6 linked regions of the Oryzias latipes genome follow. The protein of the gene in region 2 purifies or fractionates together with the protein of the main gene of each other region. This does not show direct contact. Links are inferred from orthologs where the notes say so. Each region holds a gene or a part of one and is shown on either strand. Other genes may lie near its edges.

Region 1 (3,500 bases), on a different chromosome or scaffold from region 2:
CAAAGGATGAAGAAGAGGAGGACGACAACCAGAAGAATAGCAAGCAGAATGCCAATGGCGCACCACTGTCTGCGATCTGCAACAACAGGAAGGCAGCAGAGTCTTTCATTGACAACCAACCATGTGTGAAGCAGCACCGCTGTATCTGGTTGCCGGGCAGATCTCTTACCACTGGTCATATGTGACACCTTGGCCAGTTTCTTCATGACATTGTCCAGTCTTGAATGTGTGTTGTCCATCTCATGGCTGAAATCATCCAGCATTCTGCGGTAGGAACCACACAGACGCACACATCAACAGCAGCAGCAGACATCTGGTTTTACTTTCACGTTTCATCAGAATACAAACGCTGCCATACCATAATATACAGCAGGGCAAACAGGGACCTTTAGACACCACGACCATGTCACAGTACTGTTCCTCTCCGTCTCTGATTCTCCTCCACAGGTGAACCGGAGACAGAGGGTTATGGTTAGCCAGGACGCTGTAGCTTCTTCATGATGCTGTGACCATGGTTGGTTCTTCAATTATCACGGCTCCTGACTTAAATGCTGGCTGATTGCTGAAAAGAAGGCTTTTATAAAGCTATTTTAAGATAAAGTGGATAAAAAGTTTCATCTAATCTCATTTTAAAATCAACTTTATCAGTCATGTCATGAACAGACATTTATGTTCGTAGTTCAAGTAAAAATGTACTAAAGTACGAGTACATGCACAGCCTGTTACACCTCTGTGCAGCAGCAGTTCAGCACACTAAACATGAGCGGGATATTTACCCCCCCAGAGGGTCACTAGTGTTAAACAAAATTCTAATTCACCTCTTAGCTTACATTTATTCATTCCACTGTCATCAACACAACAATGTCCCATCCCATCCCATCCATCCTGCCCTTTCAAAATAAGAGCACATATGTGCAATTACCATAAAACAAATAAAGAAGTATTTGTTATTTAACAGTCCCTGCCTTTATAGCTCAAACTCACCTTCTTTTTTATTTTTTTTTTATTTTTTTTTTTTTTTAACTTGTCCTGTCCAACAGCTGGGCAAACAGATGAGAGCTGAGGGCCTCTTGTGTTGGACATATTTTACTTTAACAAGAGGGGTTATAAATCTTCTGACAAACCAGAGGTATGTCTGAATAAACCCCTTTTGTAATCGAGGCCGAACTTTATTAATTTCAATCATATTTGAAAAACTTGTGTGTTGGACCGGACGGAAAAGGAAAGAAGGGAAGAAGAGAGAGGGATGTTAGAGGTTAGAGAGGGGGGGGGTGATTAAAGGAGGGGGGGGGGGTGAGACCATAAAGCGGCATAAAGCAACAAGTTACTGGATGTTTATCATTACAGTAAGGTTCAGATAGAATACAAATCTCAAAAGGCGGGGCCTGTCCACACGCACACTCAAATGTTATCAACACACCTGTTAGCTGTAAAAATGTCCACCTGTCAACATGTACACAAAACAGATAGTGTTCACACACGCATACCTATGACTTCAAACCAACTAGTGTGAAATTATATTTCATTCGACACGCAAACTATTAGTGCAAAGGTGAGCTAACACCTGTGCTCAGGTGAGTGTTTGTGTTCTTCCAAAATGGACGGTGGAATGTGAAAAGAAGAGGGAGAGTGCCCAGCCACCCCCACACCAAGACCCCCGCCACAGCAGCAGCGGCAGCCAGAATCCTCCAACGCCACACATCCCCCCCGGGCGACCACATCCGCCACCCAGGCCAGGACCAGCAGGACCGCCGCGAGGCCCCCAGAGCCAGAGAGCAGGGAGGCATGGGGGGAAAGAAAGTGCTGCCCCACCCCAACCAGGAGAGCAGCCCCCCCACCGCGCCAGGAGGGCCCAACACCGGGCCCCGCCCCAGAGGGGTGCCCACAGATCCAGACGAGCCTTTTTTTTTTTTAACAACACTGAATTTGCTGTTGCTGCATTTAACATGAACTAAGTTCCGCTTGTCCTTCACTCGGGGCTTCAGGTAACTAGCATGCAGATGCACCTTTTGGAGGAGTCCAAGACAACTGATCCGTGTTAAGAAAATAACTAATGGGGCATGTATGGTTAGATTTCTGATGTAAACTGTGCTATAGCACCCCCCCCCCCCCTCGTAAATCTGAAGCACTCCTGAAAAAGCTGCAGTTCCCCAGAACTAAATCAGCTTTCAGTTAAATATAGTGTTAAAATAAGACGTTAAAAATATATATTTACCGTCTTGTCTGAAAGATCTTTTGTGCTTTATTTTTTGTAAAATCACTGAAGTTGATTTTATGAAGGCCTTCCTTTCTGTATTGTTTTTTGTTTTTAGATGGACTCAACAAAACTCCCTCTTTACTCTGTCAGGCCCACCATTCAGACAGCTGTAACATGTTGTTTTGTTTAGAATAAGTATTCCTTGTTAGGGAATCGTGACACGTGACATTATCCCACTGATGTCTTTGCTGCTATTAAAAAACAAACCAAACCTTTCCAGACCAAATGTGTTCCTGTGGAGGGGATGCTTTCTAAAGGATAATCATTCATTATGTGTGCAAACAGCTGAACAGTAAAGATCATCTTTTTAGTTTAGGGGTCTGTTATGCTGCCCAGCGTCAGGCCACCATTCTCTCCAGATGTGATGAGTTCTACTTTTAAAATCTTTGAGGGCTGTACTTGGAGGAGCCATTGGTCTTCAACTATTTCAATGAACTACCAGACTGACCAAACCGAAGGGAACCAGACCACCGTGCTGCAGACGTTTGGGGTTCCTCCCAAAGCGAGTTCACATCTGAGGTGTGGCGGAGGCTTACCCTGACCATATGTCTGGTGCTGGTGATGAAGGCCTTCCTCTTTGACAGCTCCGCTGCATCCAGATTAAACTTCTTTGGGTTTGACTCTACTATGCGTTTGCAATGTGTTAAGGAACATGCTTTCTCTGTGCTGAGCTCCAATCCCAGAACCCCAAAAACAGGGAGGTGTAAAGAGAGTGAGCCTTAACAGATGCACCTTTTGGTAAAGCAGTCTGCAAGTTGTTCTTTCACGTTGTACCACAACACTCGCTCAACTCTGCTTGGATGAGTTGGCACTTTTTTCCAGACAGACTTCAGTGCGTCAGCCAGTGAATCTGTGACACAGATTATGGGTGGAGCGTGTTCAGTCGTTGGTTCAGAGAACAGTGTTGCTGCAAACGGTGCATTGTCAGTTCCATCAGACATTGCCAGTGTTTCTCCAGCAGGTGTGCTCCTCACAATTCTGTTCACTCTCTTTGAGGGGGAGCGGTGAAAACTTTCCACGTTCTCCCATTAGAACTATCAGGTTTCCTTCTTGAGTGGCTCCATCTGAAAGATTGCCAAATGAGGCATCACTGAACACCCTCATCTTGAGGGCTGAGTCCCTGCCTAGAAGCTCAAAGTTCAGAGCCACCTCACTGGATTTCAGTTTGCACACCGTTCTATTCGTTTCATGGATTTAAAGCATCAAACAAGACTTTTGGTCGACTCTGCCTTGCAACCCAGAG
Region 2 (3,202 bases):
TTTTTAGCCTCATCAATACATGGAAGCCTTGACTGCTTATCTACAAACCCCAAATGCAGCAAATGCTTGGAAGACACGGACATGTTGAGAGGTCAAGTTATTCTTTATGAAGGGTTCTACAAAAGCACCAATAATCACGTCTGCATGTCTGGATTCATGATATTCACAGACTCTCCCAATTTGATGCAAATCTACCTTAAGGCTCGTCAGTAAGGCTAATTTATTATATCAACTACCTCATGAAGTTTTGTTTATAATAAAAAAAAAATGTAGCAGAACATGCATCAGCTTAGCTTGAAGTCTTTCTACAGCAGACAAGTTCATAGATCACTAGAAAAACATCCCAGCCTCACAAAAAGACTAATGACTGAATGTTATTATTTGCACCTATATTTATAGCTGATTGAAATGGACACACAGTGAAATGAGAAACGGGCGAAGCCATCAGCTCCACCTGTGCTGTACCTGCTTCAGTAAAATCAAAGCTTTCAAGGTGAGGAGCCCAGTGTACCCGTGTGGTGAGACGTCTGAGGCGGAGACACTTTTTCTTACAGTTTTTCTCCATTGGTTTGGCTCAGTTCTTGAAACAGAAATTACATTCTCCAAACAACATGGACAAACATCCAAACCACTTTCTCATTGGTTTCCTCAAATTGCAAATGTCTTAGTACAAGTCTAAATGTCTCCGTACATCTTTCAATTGATTAAGTACAGGTAGCCTTTATTTAGCACAATTGTCAAGTGAATAGATCTTTTTGATCTAAACTGATTGTTGATTCTCAGTCTAATGGTTGTTCACTCCAAAATCAGTCCGCGTCATTTCATTGTGTAACTCATCACATGCACAATAGTCTGTTCAATTGTCAAAATTAGTCAAAAACATAATACATGAATATGATATATGAATCCCTGGGAACATTTGATACATTTATTACAGCAATTGACAGTCAGGTGATACTAGAACTTGACTAACGAAGGAGGATGTCCCAGGCCAGCGAGGGGGCAATATAACTATGTGTGCTGCCATATCTGAGAATGGTGTGGCCACTCACATCCCCAGGATTGGCCCATACAATACACAGAAGACCCTCATCTTCTTGGATTGCCTTCATTTTGATTTGATCCCTGAAACTGAGAGAGGTCTCTTAGGGCCTCACCTACCACTATATGTTATTGTATGGGACAATGTGAATTTCCACCATGGCGCGCTCATCAGGGCCTGGTTCACTACTCATCCAAGGATGTTCATACCTACTCTCCTTTCCTCAATCCTATTGAGGAGTTTTTTTCCACTTGGAGGTGGAGAGTGGTGTATGAGCATCGGGCTCAAGATCAGAGGTCCCTGCTCCATGCCATGGATGCTGCGTGTGAGGATATTACAGGAGATCAGTGTAGGGGATGGTTGCCACATGCACGCCGTTTCTTCCCTCGTTGCATCACAAGGGAGAATATACGCTCTGATGTGGACAAGAATCTGTGGCCAGACAGACAGCAGCGTGTGGATGATGGCCAGGAGAGGGAGGGTGAGGAAGGCGACCAGTGAAGAACTTTTAGTTGTGAAACTCAAGCATTATTTACAGCACTGTAGGTTGCATATCATTTTCATTGTTTTTTGTTAGTGTTTGTATTTTTACAGCATAAAACTTTTCCATGTATGAAAGTTACTTTATGTGTGTGAATGATAATGGTTACAATTTCCTTGGCAGTATGAGTGCAATGTGTGCTGTGATACCTAAGAGGCTACTCTTACCCTAAAATCCTTTTTCTTTTTTCCGTTTTATACAGAATTGTATTCTGTTAGCTATACAAAAACAGTACAGTTACCACTGTCAATTAATGACTGAGCTAAGACTAAAAGGTGGACATGAGGGATATTTCAATGGTCCTCTGCTATAGTGACAAAGCATCCAATCATTTTGAATTGCAGTGCCTACACAATGCCAAAGGGACAAAGTATTTTGGAGGCACTGACTGTTTAAGTGAGAAGGAAATTTAGTTTTGACACAGGAGGGAATTGTTTTGGGAGAGACATTAGCTTTTGCAGGTTGTGCTGAACCATCCACATTATTTTGACAAAAGCACCAAGAGTGTTGAGAACGTCCGGTCTGATCAAGAAATGAGCCAAAGCAATTGAGAAGGATATTTGCCATTTTGGTGGCACTGACTCTTTACATGGGAAAGGAATTTAGTTTTGAAGCATGAGTGAACAGTTTGGGGAGATATATTAGATTTTGCAAGTGAGCTATTGTGTTGTGCTAAACTGTAAGACTGTTCTGCCAAATGATCTTAGAGTTTTGAGAATCTAATTTCTGTTTCAAGAAATGAGCCAAACCAATGGAGAAAAACTGTAATAGCTTCTTGTCATAGAGAGCAGCTGGAACAACGTCTTGCCAAAAAGCAATTTAAACTTTACTTCAGGGACAGAAAAAAAGCCACACTTTCAGTGTTATGTAATGAGTGAGACTATGGCTCTGTTTGCAGCTCCACCAGTGTGTTTTTACGAAGAAACGCCTGCCGGAGCACAGCAGCTCCTCCACCAAATCCCCCCGCAGCACTGACCCCCATTTGCAAGTCCTCCGTCTTGTCCATGAGTTCGTCCAGCCTCTCTCCTCGGGCCAGGATCCGGTCCACGTTTTCCGTCATGATGTTTTTCACCCCATCCACCTGATCCTTTAGTTGAGCAACTTTGTCCTTTGGAGGCTCCGCCAGATCTCCTCGCTCCTGCCGTACCAGGAGAAGACCACAGTTAGCTGCACTTCGCCAATAATCAGGTTGCTATGGTTACCAATAAATATAGGATATGATCTATTTCTGTCTTGCAAGAAAATTAATCTTTTTGGAAAGTTTTTTTCAAAGCAACATAATCTTAATTTAAGAAAATATGTCTTAGTGACCAGAATTTCTTTACTAAAATACTTTTTAATAAAAGTTCTTGGTAAGATAATTTTTCTTACCCCGTTGACAGATATTTTGTTCATCTAAAGATTTTTCTTTATGTTAAGAATTTTTGACCTATTTCTAGGGCGCCTGTTTTTTGCAGCGTGAGGATTGCACATGTATGCAAAAATCACAAGGAACACAATGAAACAAATACAGACATGTAGCAGAAAAATTGTAACTGAACCTTAATTTAGTCAGAATTTCGGGGAAAACTGTTTAAGAATTGAGTGTCGATGGTCGTGTCTGATTACACGTCACAAAA
Region 3 (4,273 bases), on a different chromosome or scaffold from region 2:
GACAATGCCTGTTCTTACTTTATGGAGATGTTTGAATGCCAGCAAGAACCACAACCATCAATGAATCAACATAAAGAGATCTGCCCCCCAACCAGCGGAAGGCTCATGCTGGGTCTGGAACAGGCTGGGACAGGTGCATCTGCTCACCTGACCATCTGAAACATTTCCTCACAGCGCTCACACTCACCCACTCCATCCTGAACACGCCTATAAACCCAGACACACTGTCACTGGAAGAAGCTTTTCTCATTTCCTCAGCTGGAGGGTTTCATCTGAATAACCTGTCTACGTCTGAACGTTCAGCCAAACTCTGAGCAGATGGTACATTATGGCCCAGAACAGCTGAAACCGGGAAACCATGGCAGTGTTGTTCAGAAAGAACCCGGATGGTCCTGGTTGTGGAACGTGTGAGTATGAGGTGAGCGTGCACGGAAAGCTCTCGCTCACAGCACTCCCAGAAATGACGAAGGCGAATACGAACCGACAGCCTGGAGCCAGCTCGGACTCGGGCCACGAACTCCCGCTCCTTGTCGGCGGCCTGCCGTTGGGTCTTCTGGAAACTGTTCAACGCAGCAGAGAAGTCATTGAGCAAACGCTCCTTCTGCAGCTTCCTCTGCCTCTGAAAACACAAACACAGCTGATCAATTCCCACAAACTCCTGACCGGGTTCGATGTGATCGGTGCGTGGGACGAAGGGGCCTCGTACCTGATCGGGACCGACGGGGAGGGCGGTGAAGGCCTTGATCAGCTGGTCGGTCTCCTTGGCCAGCTGGTTCCCCTGCTGCTGTTTCTGCTGACTGAGAACCAGAGGGAAGCATCTGTGAAACGTTTCACTCGAGGAAACAGAAATCTTACAAATCCATTACTCCTGACGTGGAAAATGCTCGGGTTTCAGGAGCTAGCTGAGTACAGAGTAAAAAAAAACTATTCTAAAGGTTGAAAACTACTTTTTGAACCTTAAACCCACTGAATGGAACTGTTTTAAAACAGGGACAAATGATCCCATTCAAGTAAAACACTGTTATAAGAATAGAACTTACTTTAGTAACAACCTGCATCTCCAATGTGTGTATATGAACATGTATGTGTTTAGAACATCTTTTTAAAGTTATCTTTCTGTTTTGATGAATGAATTAGATGCTAAAATAATAAAGACAGTCTGCTTCCTGCCATTCAGGAGTCTTTACAAATGAACTGACTGAAGGAACAAGGGAAACGTATGTGTGTGTGTGCATGGTGACCGTCCACAGACAGGCCGGCTGTCGGTTTGAACTCATTTGGCTGCATGTGTGATCAAGCAGGCGGTCAGAACTCACAGCGTCTGTCTGAGCTGGCTGCTGTCCTGCTCCGTCCCCAGCAGGGTCACGGCCCTCTGCAGCTCTGAGGCTGGAACACAGATCCATGAGTGAGGATGCTGGGGGTCCAGTGGGGTTCAGCATGTGCACAGGTCTGTGTGGGTGTGTGTGTGTGTGTGTGTGTGTGCATTACTCAGTAGTGTGATCCTCTGGATGTTGGAGCTGATGTTCTGAACCAAAGCGGCGGGCTCCCGTTGAATCCCAGCCTGGTAGGCCATGATGAGAGCTGAGTTCACACAGAAAGACACATTTATGTCTTGCTTTCATACAAACTGCATGTTTAACCTTTAAAGTCCCCCAACCATCATCTTATGATCTATTGTCAAAGTGTTCCCAGCGGTCTTTTCACTACGATTCTGCTGTTTTTAGACTAAATCAGAAAACGTTGTCGTTTTCTAGGACATAGTTTCTGCGGACTGGGAGTAATTCATTAGAAATTCCCCTCTAAGGTGTGGGCGGGACTGTTGGCGAAAAGCACAACACCCCCCCTTCCCGTCATCCATCTTTTTACAACTCTCCCCTGCTAGCTTACAGCCCCTCACAACCTCAAGCTAATATTAGTGATGCAACAAAAATGGTGATCAACATCAGATCTATCATCCGTCCAGTTCTGATCCAGATTCCAGGTCAGACCAGGAAGACAAAGACGTTCACGGATCTGTTTGTCTGACAGATCAGAATAGAGCAGAGCAGGGAGCTGGTGACCTGCTGATTGTAGTTTACGTAACAACTAAGAGGTTTTTCAAACAGCATTTTTTCTTCTGCTCCTGATTCACAACGATTTGAAGAAAGAAATACTCAGAAATGCAGTTTTAAGCTTGATTTTCTATATATATGTATGTCCTCCATCATTAGAAAATGCTACAAGAACATGTAAAAACACCACAAACACCATTTTCATTGGAGTAGGTTTTTAACTAGCAGGACGGGTGCTGGCAAAACCCAAACCCAAAACTGTTGTCAATCAGGAGCAGACAAAAAAAGACTGTGATGAAGACTAGTGATGTAGAAAATACTCTGGCCAGGCCAAAGTGTCCCTGCCCTGCTCCATTCTGATGCCCCCACCTGCAGACAAATAGATCCATGGACAGCTCCAATATTGAGCAGCATTCTTGTGGTGCCGCTAAAGCTATGGATGACGGGAAGTGAAGGTGGGCTTACTCTGTACCAACAGGATCAGGAGGGAAAACTACACCATCATCAGCGTTTGTCTGACATAAGCATCAACAGTCTGAGGTCAAACCAACGTTTTGATAACAAATGGAGATGATGGAAACTTCCTCACAGCTTTGAGTGATGGAGGCAGTGAAAACACAAAGAAGGAAAGTTGCTTTTCCTCTCAGAACAAATCCTGAAACTCTGAAACGCTGAAGGTCAGAACCAAAGAGCTGCTGCAGCAAACACCAGCCCAGCTGACCCCTGACCCCCATCCATGCTGGACCAACGTGGGCTCATGCCCAGTCTGCTCTGATCGGGGGCCAGTTGGGGGGGGGGGGGGGGGGCGTTGACGCGGGTCAGGCAGTTGCTCACGCGCGTTTCCGGGACCAGCGGCGCTCCAGCGTCTGCTATGATGACGCGTTTTTAGGACCCCGTCAAGACCCCCTCCGCCGTGCGTTACGGGGCAGCCTGCCGCCTGCAGCGGTCGGTCGGTGGGGCTGCAGTCTTTCCAGCAGCCGCAAATGCGGAAATCAGAGGACTTTCTCGGAACACCACGGTCTGTGTCCTTCCGTGACGGCTGCTCTCTCCCGGAGTTTCTGTTTATAAAACCCCGAACTTTAAGCGTCAACGTGACGTTTAGCTCATGAAACTACCGGTCTCTACACAACTGCCCCCCCACCCGCCCCCAGCCCGGTTCGGGACATCTCGCCGTTTGTCCTCAGAAAGTGAAGCGCTCCGAAACCCGCGGTAGGATTTTGGATCGAGACCAAAACCTGCTCTAGAACGGTTCGGTTCGTTTCTGGGATCGTTTGGACTTTACCTGCGCTGAGACTTGGAGCTGCGCCGTTTCCTGACTCGCAGCCACTCCCCGGTCACATGACGCGCACGGCCCGGCCCCGCTGGAGCCAAGAGCCGCAGGAGCCGCAGGGGCCAGGGGACACTCCCACCAAAGACTGGAGACAAGGCTTCAGGGTTCTGCTGCGCCCCGGTCCTTTAGGATGGAAACGAGTCAACTCCACAAAAACAAGTCATAACATTAACAATAAAGGACTAAAACATAGTTTCAGCGCGCTGGAGCAAAATGATGTTTATTCAAAAAATATGACAGAGTCTGAAGGCCACATATTTGAGAAGGAGGGGGGAAAGGAGACAGAGGTGGAGGTCTTCCTCATGTTAAGGTTTTCCTCATGTTGAGGTCTTCTTCAGGTGGAGGTCTTCCTCATGTTGAGGTTTTCCTCAGGTGGAGGTCTTCCTCAGGTGGAGGTCTTCCTCATGTTGAGGTTTTCCTCAGGTGGAGGTCTTCCTCAGGTGGAGGTCTTCTTCAGGAGGAGGTATCCCTCAGGTGGAGGTCTTCCTCATGTTGAGGTCTTCTTCAGGAGGAGGTCTTCCTCAGGTGGAGGTCTTCTTCAGGTGGAGGCCTTCCTCAGGTGGAGGTCTTCTTCAGGTGGAGGTCTTCCTCAGGTGGAGGTCCCCTGCAGTTCTCTCCCCTTTGGACCCTTCGTCTCCACTCAGTAGAGGAGTGGAAATCTGGATCACAGACATAGGAGGAAGCAGGACATGAACCTGAAGCGTCGTGGAAGCAGCAGCAGGTCTGTAGGAGGCAGCAGGTGTTTATCCACATATAGAATATATATCTTTGCACTATCTTTTTCCAAACTGGCAGATCAATGACATATTTGTATTCGTCAACAGCAACATGCAACTGTGTTGTATTACAGACTCATTCTTGCTCTGTAGCTGGAATATGTGGAAGGGCGCTC
Region 4 (3,500 bases), on a different chromosome or scaffold from region 2:
TTTCCAGGAGAAGGAACCTGTTTTGGGATGGCAGGTCAGTCCAGCGGGGGTCGAGTTTTCTCATCTACATTTGAGAACAAAAAAAAAAAAAAAGACAGCTGTGCTGCCAACAAGGACAGATTTGCTCTACGGACGTGTGTGGAAACAAACTGTGTGCATGAAGGTCGCAAAAGAGGCTCCAAAGTGGAGGAGGGGAAAAAAAAAAAACGAAGCAGACGTCGGCGTTCATTTGATGAGCTTGTTGGCTCTCTGGTTGGCGTCGTCGATGCGCATTTTGTTCATGTCCGCCTGAAGAGGAAGAAAATAAAAGTAGACAAGCTTTTCTTTAGCTCACTTTTCATTTGACGGGAATGTATCAACAATTCCAACTACAGTTAACAAGTGAAAAACATTTATAAACCTGAGAAAAGCCTTAAGGATTCTATCCTCCAGTGCCTGAAAGCTAACAAAAACACTGCAGTAATTGTACCTTTGGAATTACCATGATACTTCCACTGCCATGCTTCCCCCTCAGGGATCTACTGTGAGCCAAAATCTCTTTATTACACATTCTGATCAAAATTATGTTCTTCAAAAAGTCAACTATCGTCTATGTCTGTTTTTCAACCTTTTTTGAGCCACGGCACACTTTAACTTTGACAAAAAACCTGTGGCACACCAGCATCCAAAATTTAAAAAAAAAAAAAAAGGAGAAACTCTATAGTCTGTATTGATCTACAGGCCCTCTGCAATCACACATGCATTTTTGTGACATCTAAAAGATGTAATAAAAAAGTTAGAAGATTTAAAAACTGTTTGATGTGTGTTCGTTGTGGTTTCAAGACGTTAAGAGGAAAGACTCCTTGTGCGTCGAGACGCTGTCACTTTAACCCAATGCATCATGGGAGATGTAGTGACACCTGCCGCCGAACACAGACAGACTATCGTCTCTGAGCTTCATGGTTTTGCTCACTTGTTCCACGGTCTGACACCGGATTCTGTGGAAAGCTACACAGCTAAAGACGAGCTTCAGCTGGTATTTTTGTTAGAACTGAGCGACTTTATGAGCCAAATCATGACAAGGAAGTGAAGACTTTAACCAATTGTGATTGGTCAGACTGATGACCAAGAATGATTGGCGGAGACAGTTAAAGGGGCGGGACTTCTCAGAAAACAGCTTTAGCTGGGGCTAAATTGCAGTCCCGTCATTCTTATCAAAATGTCTTTAATTAGAATCAAATAAACACAAAAAGAAAAGTAATTTATGATCTTTCATACTCCTAACTACGCAGTGTTTTATCAGGGCCTGTTTGGATGAACAGAGAGCTGATATACAGGAGATGGAAAATGTTTTTAGATCAGTTATGAGGGCACACCTGACCACCTCAGCACACTGGTTGAAAAACACTGCTCTATGTAAAGAAACCGGATGTTTTGCTCATTTGATTTAATTTTGCTAAGCTAACATAATTAACTGAAGATCAGTAAATGAAAACAGGTTGAGTCAGTGTGTTTGCTCAAAAGCCGTGGCCTTGAGCAAGGCCATTGACCTGTTTCAAAGTAATACCCGAATGATGAAACTGTGCGACACTGGACTGGGTGTCCTTAAAAAAATAAAATAAATAAATAAATAAAAACGAGCTGCTTTTTCACAAATAAAAGAAAAGCCGAAACATTGAAAATCCTCTCCACTCACAACAAACTCTGGATTTAAAAATCCACATTTTTCCCCCAGAAAGCCTTTTATTTGATCAAGTCTCCACTCCATCTCTCATCTTTCCCCTGAACGTCTGAGACTTTGAATGTCGTAAATATAAATGGAATACAGTTTCAGAACTGAGCTGCACTGCAACAAAAGATTTTTATCCTGAATATCTTGTCGGCTCATTTGATCTTTAAGCATCTTATTTTTATTTACGTCATATCACTTTTCTGGGCTTTTTAATTGATTTGGGGACTAATGATTATACAACTTTAAAGAGAAATTTCTCTTCAAATGTGTAATTCTAGTCTAATATCTAGAGGATTTTTTTTTTAAAAAAAAAGGAAAGTTCGAGAGCTTGAAATAGGATATATTTGGGGGAAAAGTATAAGAATGTATGTTATACATTTTAATTATAAACAACTTTTTTCAGCAACATCTGCTTCCGGTGAGAATTTTGATAATTTAATAATGAAAATGATAGTAGCCAATTTTGAAATGTTATTTTGTCTTAAAAGATACTTTTTTCAACTAATCCCCCAAAATAAATGATTCTAGTTGTTTTTTTCCACTTATTTTAAAAAAGTAAAACATCTTGTTTTCTCTAGTTTGACTTGCTTTAAGGACACTTGTTTGTCTGTCTTCCTTAAGGTTCATGTGAGGCTTCAGATTTTCTCTTTAGGATTTTTAAAATGTATTTATTGAAAATGTTATGAGACCATTTTCAGCTGAGAATAAAACCAGATGGTTGGTGGATCTCTGGCTCTCACCTTATCGGTGATCCTGTCGATCTGTACGTTCTGCTTGTCTATTTCATGTCCCATCGTCATCGCCATGCCTTTGAGGTTGGAGATGATCCCGCCCACCGCCTCCAGGTTTTCCTCCATCTCATCCTCTCGCGCATCATTGGTCACCCTGCAGCACAAAGCCACGTTTGTTGAAACGACGGTCGGCGGTCTCTGAACTCGGGGACCCGTTCGAGGCCCCACCTCTGGATGTACGGGCCCGACGGCGCGGCGGCGGTCCCCCTGGCGGCGGTCTGGGCGGGCTGTCCGTTGCGAGTGCGTGACGGCTGCCTGGACACCACCTTTGAGCCGTCGCCATCATTTTCCCCCTCCAGCCCTCCAGTGCCCCAGGTTTTTTTGTAACGCTGGTCGTTTTCAAGAGATGTGACTCTGTAAACAAATATAAACCGCATTTATGCGCCAAAACGTCAGGGAACGCCACACAAACAGGTTCACTAAAACACACACTGCTTTCAGGATGAGCCATTTCTACAAGATGCTAAATAAAGAGGCAGGAATCACAGAACGCCTCCTACCTTATGCCTTGATAATCAAAGTATCTCCTTCTCCAAAGTGAAAGCATTTGAGGAAGATTTGTGTTTAGAAACAACAAGTCACACAAAAGCTTCAAAGTCACACTTTCACTAAGAACTCGGAATAAAAACAGAAATGGATCAGAAGAATAAAACAGATTCTGCTTTAATGAATAAATGAAATGTTCCGCTTTTGCAAAACATGTCAATGTGAGCACGCGTGCAGCATTCTTCCTGATTCCAACATTTGGCATGAATGCAGTCCAACAATCCAACAGGACTCTTCCTGCACTCTGAGTGGCGGCGGCGGCGCCGGCAGCAGCAGCGGCGTACCTGTCGCAGGGGCAGGTGCAGAGGCCGCAGCACTTGTTCAGGTCGTTGAGGTTTTTCTCGGCCTGCTTCATGTCCTCGTTGATCTGCTCCATGCCCTCCTCTACTCTTTTGAGCTGCTCTGAATCACAAACACACTTCAACATCTTCATCTCTGCTGTTGGAAACAGC
Region 5 (4,201 bases), on a different chromosome or scaffold from region 2:
AAGAGCTTCAAACTCTTCGAGAAGAGATCAAAATATTAGCGAGCCAGATCCAGAGGAAGCTGAAAAGTGAGTATTTGGGAGTTCAAATCAAGAATTTTGTCTTCAAACCACTTAAGTTTCTTCTCGTCTCAACTGAGGTATTGAATCCAAAAAGTCGGACGATGATGGCAAATATATTCCCATAAATGTCCGGATGCAGCGCACTCAGGTAGCATCTTTACATATTTAAACAATAATTTTATCTATTTGACAGAATAGGCTTAAATGCAGAAATTTAGACTGTTGCATCCTCCTTGCTGCTTGTGTGAAATAAATTGGTCTGTTTTTCCCAGCATGCCATACTTTCCAAGGAGTTTGTGGAGCTAATGGGCCACTGCAACACCATCCAGGCCAAGTACAGAGATCGCAACGTGGAGAGAATACAGAGGCAGCTTAAAATAAGTGAGCTTTCTTGTCCCAGGCCGTCTGTTGGTGTTCAGGGACGTCGAAGTATTTCCTCACCTGTGCTTTTGTGAACATGTGACTCACTGTTTGATTGGTTCTGTCTCCAGCCGGCACAAACGTGACAGAAGAGGAACTGGACACGATGCTTCAAAACGGCCAAACGGATGTTTTCACTCAAAATGTGAGTAGATGTGCGAGAGGTGTCGTCATGGAAACGCTGCAGCTGTTTTCCATCACTCAGAAACATGTCATGATAGGTTTGCTCTCTTGTCACCTCTCGAATTGCTCTAACTGGACAGCAGATTTGGTAAGAAACAGACTTTAGTGTCACAGTAGCTGAGGCGTGAAGACCCATGCTTAGTGCAGCCTTCCTCAGAGGGATGTTAGCCCAAACACCCAGCTCGGTTGGGTTCTTTCCTTTACTTATTGGACCTTTTTGTGGCTCACAGATTTTAAATGATGCAAAAGCTACTAAACAAGCCCTAAATGAGATCGAGTCGCGGCACGATGAGATCCTGAAGCTGGAGCGGAGCGTCAGAGACCTGCACGACATGTTCCAGTACCTCGCCATGGAGGTGGAGGCTCAGGTATCACAAACACCAACAGACCTTCAGGCTGGTTCCATCCGATATAGGTTTCCATCATGGCGTTTTTGTGTCTTCCAGGGAGAGATGGTCAACAGAATCGAAGAGAACATCAAGCAGTCGTCCGACTACGTGGAGAGCGCAGCGAAAAACACGCAACAGGCCGTCACATATCAGAACAAAGCTCGCAAGGTAGGTGTAAATCATGGAGCATTTTGAACCCAGTGCAAAACAGGAAGCTGAATTTTTCTGACTTCCTGTTTCAAAACAAATAAATCCTCGATATTCTGACATTCACAGAGTTTCTTAATTTGTTTAAAACTTTGACATTTTGGGTTAATCAAAGGTATAAAAAAACTGAAAATACAGAGTTGGTGACAGAAATGAGTTATGACCCAAATTTTGCTTTAACTTAGACTAAAGTTTGATAACTAATATATTCATTTTTTTATCCTGGCATGGTTGAGAAGGTACACTAAATGACTTGACATATGGTCTGGCCTCACCTGTTGCACTCAATCAGTCCCTACAAAGCATCACTTCAAAGAGCCTAACCGGCACACACCTGATCGGTGCTTCATGCACAAAAGTTTCTGACTGTCCACCCCATAAAATGAGTTTTATTTGTAAAAAAGCATGTGATAGAGTCAGATTTGGTATGAATCCAATTTGGGAGAGATCCTGTTTGGGCCTCGCTAGATTTGTTGAAAACACAAATAGAAATGCTTTTGAAATTTTATTTTTTTAAAGAACTTTGCAGTTCTCCTTTTTTTTTTTTTTAAATCTCACTTTCACAATTGTGTGCAAAGGTTTCAATTTTAGAGAGCGGATCAAACGTCTCATTCTTTGCTTTTGACAAACCAAAACACTGAGTCTCCAGACTCATCCTAAAATTTAAACCCCCACTCCAATCATCTTTTGATTCGTTTAGTCTTTTAATTAGGATTATGCTGTTTTTAGCCAAATTATTTAAAAGAAAAGTCATTTTCTAGGACATGGGGTCTGCAGAGCAGCAGTAGTTTATCAATGTAGTCCCTTTTTCATTCAAAAATCAAAACATTCTAAAGTATCTTTAGTCAGACTGAAGCATAAATATGTAGTCATGGGGACTTGGGAGAGTGGCAGAGGTTTTAAAATGTTTCTATCAGTTTTTTCTGCCTTCATTTGGTTTAAAACCTGAACTAATCAGAAGTCCTCGTATTTTCAGATCAACAGTTTTTAACCCTGTTATAACAGTTCACATTCAAAAAGCCATGTTTTAAAGTTTGGTGGGATGTCATCACCAGCTAATTAGATCAGTGGTTCCGTCTCCAAACGCTTTACATTCTGCAGGTGTTTATAAAAATTGAGAATTAACTTCAAAGGCGATGGATAAAAATGTCTTTTTACATTTTCAGTTGCACAGACGGCTGCAGAAGAGCTCAGTTTCTGAAAGCAGCTGTTATGTGAATCATTTATTCCACTTTGGTAGGATGTTGTGGAGAGATTTAGCTCAATTTGTGGTCCTTCAGATACTTAATTTAATTTAAAAAATGCTATTGCAAATTTACCAGAAGTGTATAGTTCTTCTTTTAAGAGCTTCAACTATTTAAGGTTAGCTTTTATTTTTGATCCCTGATTTCATGCAAATATTTTGTGTATATCTGATTTTGTTTTTTTTTGTAATACCAACCTGTTTGATACCGTTTCTTCTTTTTACTGCAGAAAAAACTTTGGATCGCAATCTGCTGTGCCATCCTCCTCCTCATTATTGTCATCGCCGTCGTGTCCACGTTCACATAGTAAAAGCGGACGCTGACACTGCCTGCAGCATGTTGGATACATAGAATATAAATTATCTATACATTTTTTGTGTGTAAGAGGAGTCCACACAGGTGAATTTAGTCACTGAACATTTTTGTTTTCTATTCCTCACCTTCCAAGTCATTTTTCTGTAATGAAGCGTTTTTTTTTTGGGTCAGATTTTCAGTTATGTTTGCATTTTCATTTCTGTTTAAGGAAGGAGTCTCTTCCTGCAAAACTAACATACCGTTCCTGATTTCTTCTGTTTAACCCCCATTTTTCACAGAAAGACAGAAAGTGAGCTTAAAAAATGCAGTTGCAGTATTGATCTCAGGAAATCTGTTCACTTTTGTTACGCTTCCACTGTGAAACTGTAAAAATCAGTTTAACAGGTTTTTATAAACGGAAAACAGACTAATATTGTAAATAACAGATTGTGATCATACAGAGATTTTTTTTTATCTTGAGCATTTGGACTTCCAAGTGTAAATAGGGAAAAGTAAATCCCTTAGCACCAACGAGGCCAACCCCAGTTTGTATTTATTAAAACATTCTAAGCTGCTACTAAAATGAGTTGTTTCATAACTAAGCCTTAACTTTTCAGAACTGTGCCTTCTCCATGCTGTCTACTTAAGAATGTGATGCTGAGCACCAACACTGTCAAGAAGGGATGGATTTTTGATCTGTTGTAGCCTCTTAATAAAGATTCGGCACAGCTTTCTTTGCCAAACCCTTCTGAGGGTTTCTGTGACCTCCTGACACTCAGACGACCTGCTGAGAGACAAAATGACAACATCTAGCTCCAGGTTAGCTGAAGGAGACAACTTTCCCACTGTTCAGCTGTTAAAGCATTGTAATATTTGGTTTTTTAAATAAAATACTCTGCCTTTACTTTGTCATTGTCAGCTTTTTTTTCTTTATAAACATCTAAACGGTTTTAATTTATGCATGAAGTTGAGTCGTGGCATCTGGGCTTAAAAATCTACTTTCATGACATGAAAAAGTCTCCAGGAAGTGAGACTGAAGTCTTTTCCTTTAAACGTTCTGACCACACATGTACCAGAAATACAGCGACAAACCTTTAACACCAAACCGTCACTAATTTTTGGTCTTTTTATTCAACTGTAATTGTCTTAGTTTTCAAGTAAAACAATGTGGAATTACAAGGGATCAAAGGAATGCGGCAAAAGAAATCAGAAGACCATCACCAGAACTACCCATTACCCCCACCCCCCCCACCCCCCCAGGTAATAATCACCTTTGCTCAAAATTAAATCGACAATTACAGTCATCTGGAACTGCACCAGTAAATTTATTCACATTTTATTCATGTAATGTGATTTCTTTTCCTTTTATACATGACCCAAGAGCGATGAATGGCAAACTGTTTG
Region 6 (4,145 bases), on a different chromosome or scaffold from region 2:
TGGCTATGGACTCCCGCTCTTTCTCGGCTGCGTGTCGCTGAACCGCCTGGAAGTTGTTGAGCGCCGCAGAGAAATCACTCATGAGCCGGTCTCTCTGAATCTTCTGCTGCCTCTGGACAGAGCAGAGCACCCAAAGCACATTAGGAGACACTTTTTAAAAAAGCATTTAGATAACGGTTAAGATTTTAAAGTTCAATCCTGACAATCACTTTCCAACATTCAAGCAGCAACATTGTAACTTAACTCCTATTTTTTCCTAAAGATTTTCAGGAAAAATCCCTGCTTCCTCTGTATCGTTTATACATAAACTCGGCTTTCATCTCCTGCTTAAAATTTACAAAACAAAAAATTAGCAAATCTCAACTACAAGAATCGCCTTCTTTTACTAATATCTGATCACTTCAGAGGTCACAACAGCAAACCATCTCCCTCCAGTTAAACCTTTCTGCTGCAAAAATACTTTGAAGTACTGCTGCACACCGTGTTTGGAATACTGCAGTCAGGGGAGACAGTTTTGGTAAAAACTCAGGATTTGGTCTTCATGCAGACGTTTCAACAAACTCCCACTTACCTGTTCAGAGGGGGATAGAGGCGCAGGGACAGAGCCTAGTTCTTTAAGGTGTTTGTTGGTTTCCTTCGCAAGCTGGTTAGTGTAGTGCTGGATCTGCTGCCTGCAGAGAAAACTGTGCATCAATAAAAACAGGACTGAACATCAGCCACAAGAAGAAGCTGCTTCCCAGATTCAGGCTATTACAGTCCCAGCCATTCTGCTCCACACTAAAGCACACTCAATGTGTAATGCACTACTGTTAATGCATCTGTAAATTGCTTTTATTGTCAATTCAATTCAAATAAAGCTTGAAATTTTTAATTTTCTTAGTATTTTTTTTTAAATCAAATAATAGAGCTTTTCTACCAGCTCTGAAATAAATCAAAATTTTAAAATTCTTTGCAAAGTGAAAACACGCCATCAAAAAGTGTGACACATTCATTTAGTCGCAGAAGACAAAAGAGATTATTGAAGTTTACTCCACAACCACCAGCAACAGTCATTTAACCTCTTCCTGGTCTCACAGCATCACTTAAATGTGCAAAGCAGGAGGACTCCTGGGTCAGTAGATGTAGGTTTTGTAGCTGAAACCAAATTTTGTCACCAAAAAGCCTGAATTATAACAATTTTAAAGGTTTTACTTCTCAATACATATGATTAACAACAGTGTGTGCAAGAAATGCATGTAAAGCAAACTGGCTGTGTTAGTTTTTTTTTTCATATTGTCTTAAACATAAGTCAGGGTGCCTTATTGAATAATTGCATCAGTGTTGGTCTCATATTCAGCCTCATTAGGAGGTTATTACCAACAAAGATAACACTGATATTTGCATCAGATGTTAACCAGCTAGAAAACCTCCATCTGCCTGTGTTTTCATTAAAACTGGTAGAAAAAAATGAAACAAGAAATGATGACATACAGACGATCGTGAAGTTCACTGGAGTCTTGCCTTGTCCCTTGCTGGTTCACCATGGTCTTAATCTGTGCGGCTGTCAGGAAAACAGAAACAATCTTAATCTCCAAAACCTTTACTCAGGGATCATCTGTGTGCACAGATATCAAACAACAACACAGAAAAAAACACAAAAACCAATCCAAACCGCAGAAGCAAACGAGCTAAGAAATAGTTTAGTGTCCATTCTTGTATAGACAGCAGAAAATGCAACTTAATTTGTGAGTTTTGTACCAAAGAATGTAAGCACTTATTTACTGTACACATCTCAAAAAGGAAGCAAACCTGAACATTTAGAATAGTGTATTTTCCTGAAGCACTTGTGATGAATTAGCCATGTGATTGCTTAACCTGGATCTCCCCCCCTGAACAGGCCTGAGTTAAGCAGCAGATCATCACGATTCTTGTAAGCATTCTCACATGACTTCTTCCTGAGCCAGTGACTAACAATGAGTCTCAGCTCCCAGCAATGGAGGACTCACTGTTCTGTGTGATCTTCTGGATGTTGGAGCTGCATGTCTGAATAAGGGAGCCAAAGTCCCTCGGGACAGGGCGGAACTCCGCTTTACCGTAGGACATGTTTGAGGCGGAAGGCTTGGCTTTGATGTTGAGCTAAAACTGTGCATGCAAAAAAAGAAAAGGAAATTTGAAAAAGGCCACAAACTGTTATTTAACATGAATAATTCAATCTAAAACTCCAAATGTAGGTCGGAGGGAGAATGCAATCACGCTTCAAAACTTACTAAAACGCACAGACTAAAAAGCTGACATTTATTAAAATCATCACACAAAATTATAATACAGACTAGTAAAGTATATACAGAACTGTTAGGATTTCGCTGCTTTTTTTTTTTGACATGACGCACACCATAAGACCCGTACGCTTATTTAACTAACCAGCAGATGTTGACTTATAGACAAACATGAAGCCGCAACGTTAACATATTGATAGTATAACCACAACAATGTTACCAGAGCGACGTTCTGCTAACGGAATTTTACATCACAGAGTGACATTCCCAACAACACGTAGCGGAACGATGCTAACGTGTTAGCTAAACGTGCTAACTTCTAAGCGTTAGATTATAAACGATGAAATCGTTGCGTTGCATATTTAAAATAGCGTTTAATCGACATTTGAAACTACGAAACAAGGTAACTGACGTTTATTTTATACTTGCATATGATTCAGCTGAAGAAACAAATTCTCGCCCTTCGATCAGGGCTTGGTTCCGGATTCAGCTGAGATCACCGAGCCCTACTTCCTCTGACAACCAATCAGGTCACGCATTTGAAACCAAACCACCAATCAAAACGCTGTAGCGTGCCCGGGTCCAGTGAGCCACCAATCAAAACTGAGCATTCGACTTCCTGGTATGTGACATTTCGGTATGACGTTGTTTTTTGTTGTTTTGTTTTTTTTAAATGCTCATACAGACCAAGTAAGGGTGAACAAACGTTATAAATGCGCATATAGAAAAAAAAGAAATTCCCGGGTCCAGATTTTTCATATAGAAAAGAACATCAGATAAGGAAAAAAAGGGAATATTTAAAACTTTGAGTGACAACCAACTGTGAATATCAGTCCAAAATATTTTTGCAACTGTAAAAGAGATGTTCTACGTTTCAGTTTCAGATGAACAGAATATGCGTGGTTCTGATTGAAATTTGAATCTTTTATGTAAAAAATCTCCAACAGGGTAAATTTTAGATATTATTTTAAAATGCGTTTCTTTCATTTTAGGTGGAAGTGGGTACTTTGTGTATAAAGAAAAAGATTTGTCCATTAGGGTGGTTTCTAAGTCGCGTTCATTGTTTATGCTAAAGTTGCAGAAAATTATTTGTTTAAAGGTTAGAGTTTATTGTTGCCTTTTTTATCTTTTAGGGGAATATCATTAACTTTTCCATTAATTCTGGAAATTGTGGTTTGATTGCATTGTATTGTAATATGTTATGAATAAGATTAAGTAAAGGTATGGTAATTGCTTAACAGACTTTGCTATAACAGTTACTAGAATCCTTAATTTTGTATTTAGTTACAAACCCATTGTATGATAACAGCATTCCATCAGTACGCATCAAGTCATAGACAAAACACACACCATTATTCAGAAATAAACAAGGATTTATTGTTTACAGTTATAAATCTGCCGCCACCAGTGTGTGAATGGGTCTGTGTTTGTAAACCGCTTTGGGCCTTGTAGGTAGAAAAGCGCTATATACTGTAAGTGTACGCCATTTACACCATAACTGCGGGGTTGAAGATGCTGCAAGGGAAAACATACATGGAGTGCCATTATCAAGTGGCTGGAATAATATACAGAAACACGTGTGCAGAATATGAACTGGAAACCTCAAAGTCAAAAAGAGAAACACCTCTGAAGGTGATAGAGAATGAAAGGGCAAAGATCCTGTGGGACTTCCAGATACTGACTGACAGGATGGTAATGGCGAACCAACCAGACATTGTAGTGGTGGATAAAGAACAGAGGAAAGCCGTTGTGGTGGATGTGGCAGTGCCAAGTGATGGGAACATCAGGAAGAAGGAACATGAGAAACTGGAGAAATACCAGAGACTCAGAGAAGAACTGGAGAAAGCCTGGAAAGTGAAGGTGACAGTGGTGCCTGTGGTAATAGACCTT

What was found.
Region 1: the proteins of vesicle-associated membrane protein 8-like (region 2) and syntaxin-6 purify together in Homo sapiens (affinity purification with mass spectrometry; 3 studies listed by BioGRID and IntAct, counting the BioPlex papers as one, with this or other methods). This does not show direct contact. The link is inferred for Oryzias latipes from reciprocal best matches to the Homo sapiens genes VAMP8 and STX6.
Region 3: the proteins of vesicle-associated membrane protein 8-like (region 2) and stx7 purify together in Homo sapiens (affinity purification with mass spectrometry; 7 studies listed by BioGRID and IntAct, counting the BioPlex papers as one, with this or other methods). This does not show direct contact. The link is inferred for Oryzias latipes from reciprocal best matches to the Homo sapiens genes VAMP8 and STX7.
Region 4: the proteins of vesicle-associated membrane protein 8-like (region 2) and snap23 purify together in Homo sapiens (affinity purification with western blotting; 3 studies listed by BioGRID and IntAct, with this or other methods). This does not show direct contact. The link is inferred for Oryzias latipes from reciprocal best matches to the Homo sapiens genes VAMP8 and SNAP23.
Region 5: the proteins of vesicle-associated membrane protein 8-like (region 2) and syntaxin-4 purify together in Homo sapiens (affinity purification with western blotting; 3 studies listed by BioGRID and IntAct, with this or other methods). This does not show direct contact. The link is inferred for Oryzias latipes from reciprocal best matches to the Homo sapiens genes VAMP8 and STX4.
Region 6: the proteins of vesicle-associated membrane protein 8-like (region 2) and stx12 purify together in Homo sapiens (affinity purification with mass spectrometry; 3 studies listed by BioGRID and IntAct, counting the BioPlex papers as one, with this or other methods). This does not show direct contact. The link is inferred for Oryzias latipes from reciprocal best matches to the Homo sapiens genes VAMP8 and STX12.

The regions. Positions count from the first base shown.
Region 1 is NC_019862.2:1,653,413-1,656,912, reverse strand, and holds part of syntaxin-6, read right to left. Parts: exon of another isoform or gene 2,990-3,500; intron 2,007-2,989; exon of another isoform or gene 1,915-2,006; intron 265-1,914; coding exon 170-264; intron 77-169; coding exon 1-76. UniProt on the Homo sapiens protein: SNARE promoting movement of transport vesicles to target membranes. Targets endosomes to the trans-Golgi network, and may therefore function in retrograde trafficking.
Region 2 is NC_019867.2:25,804,124-25,807,325, forward strand, and holds part of vesicle-associated membrane protein 8-like, read right to left. Parts: intron 2,722-3,202; coding exon 2,560-2,721; intron 1-2,559. UniProt on the Homo sapiens protein: SNAREs, soluble N-ethylmaleimide-sensitive factor-attachment protein receptors, are essential proteins for fusion of cellular membranes.
Region 3 is NC_019882.2:21,987,180-21,991,452, reverse strand, and holds the start of stx7 (syntaxin-7), read right to left. Parts: upstream 2,801-4,273; 5' UTR 2,786-2,800; coding exon 2,641-2,785; intron 1,582-2,640; coding exon 1,489-1,581; intron 1,387-1,488; coding exon 1,317-1,386; intron 798-1,316; coding exon 707-797; intron 620-706; coding exon 482-619; intron 1-481. UniProt on the Homo sapiens protein: May be involved in protein trafficking from the plasma membrane to the early endosome (EE) as well as in homotypic fusion of endocytic organelles. Mediates the endocytic trafficking from early endosomes to late endosomes and lysosomes.
Region 4 is NC_019880.2:4,940,082-4,943,581, forward strand, and holds part of snap23 (synaptosomal-associated protein 23), read right to left. Parts: intron 3,451-3,500; coding exon 3,333-3,450; intron 2,857-3,332; coding exon 2,671-2,856; intron 2,597-2,670; coding exon 2,452-2,596; intron 289-2,451; coding exon 226-288; 3' UTR 1-225. UniProt on the Homo sapiens protein: Essential component of the high affinity receptor for the general membrane fusion machinery and an important regulator of transport vesicle docking and fusion.
Region 5 is NC_019877.2:19,251,478-19,255,678, reverse strand, and holds the end of syntaxin-4, read left to right. Parts: coding exon 1-66; intron 67-137; coding exon 138-208; intron 209-332; coding exon 333-441; intron 442-551; coding exon 552-625; intron 626-893; coding exon 894-1,031; intron 1,032-1,109; coding exon 1,110-1,220; intron 1,221-2,732; coding exon 2,733-2,810; 3' UTR 2,811-3,701; downstream 3,702-4,201. UniProt on the Homo sapiens protein: Plasma membrane t-SNARE that mediates docking of transport vesicles. Necessary for the translocation of SLC2A4 from intracellular vesicles to the plasma membrane.
Region 6 is NC_019869.2:17,750,869-17,755,013, forward strand, and holds the start of stx12 (syntaxin-12), read right to left. Parts: upstream 2,801-4,145; 5' UTR 2,685-2,800; exon of another isoform or gene 2,668-2,684; intron 2,122-2,667; 5' UTR 2,083-2,121; coding exon 1,986-2,082; intron 1,541-1,985; coding exon 1,471-1,540; intron 672-1,470; coding exon 572-671; intron 113-571; coding exon 1-112. UniProt on the Homo sapiens protein: SNARE promoting fusion of transport vesicles with target membranes. Together with SNARE STX6, promotes movement of vesicles from endosomes to the cell membrane, and may therefore function in the endocytic recycling pathway.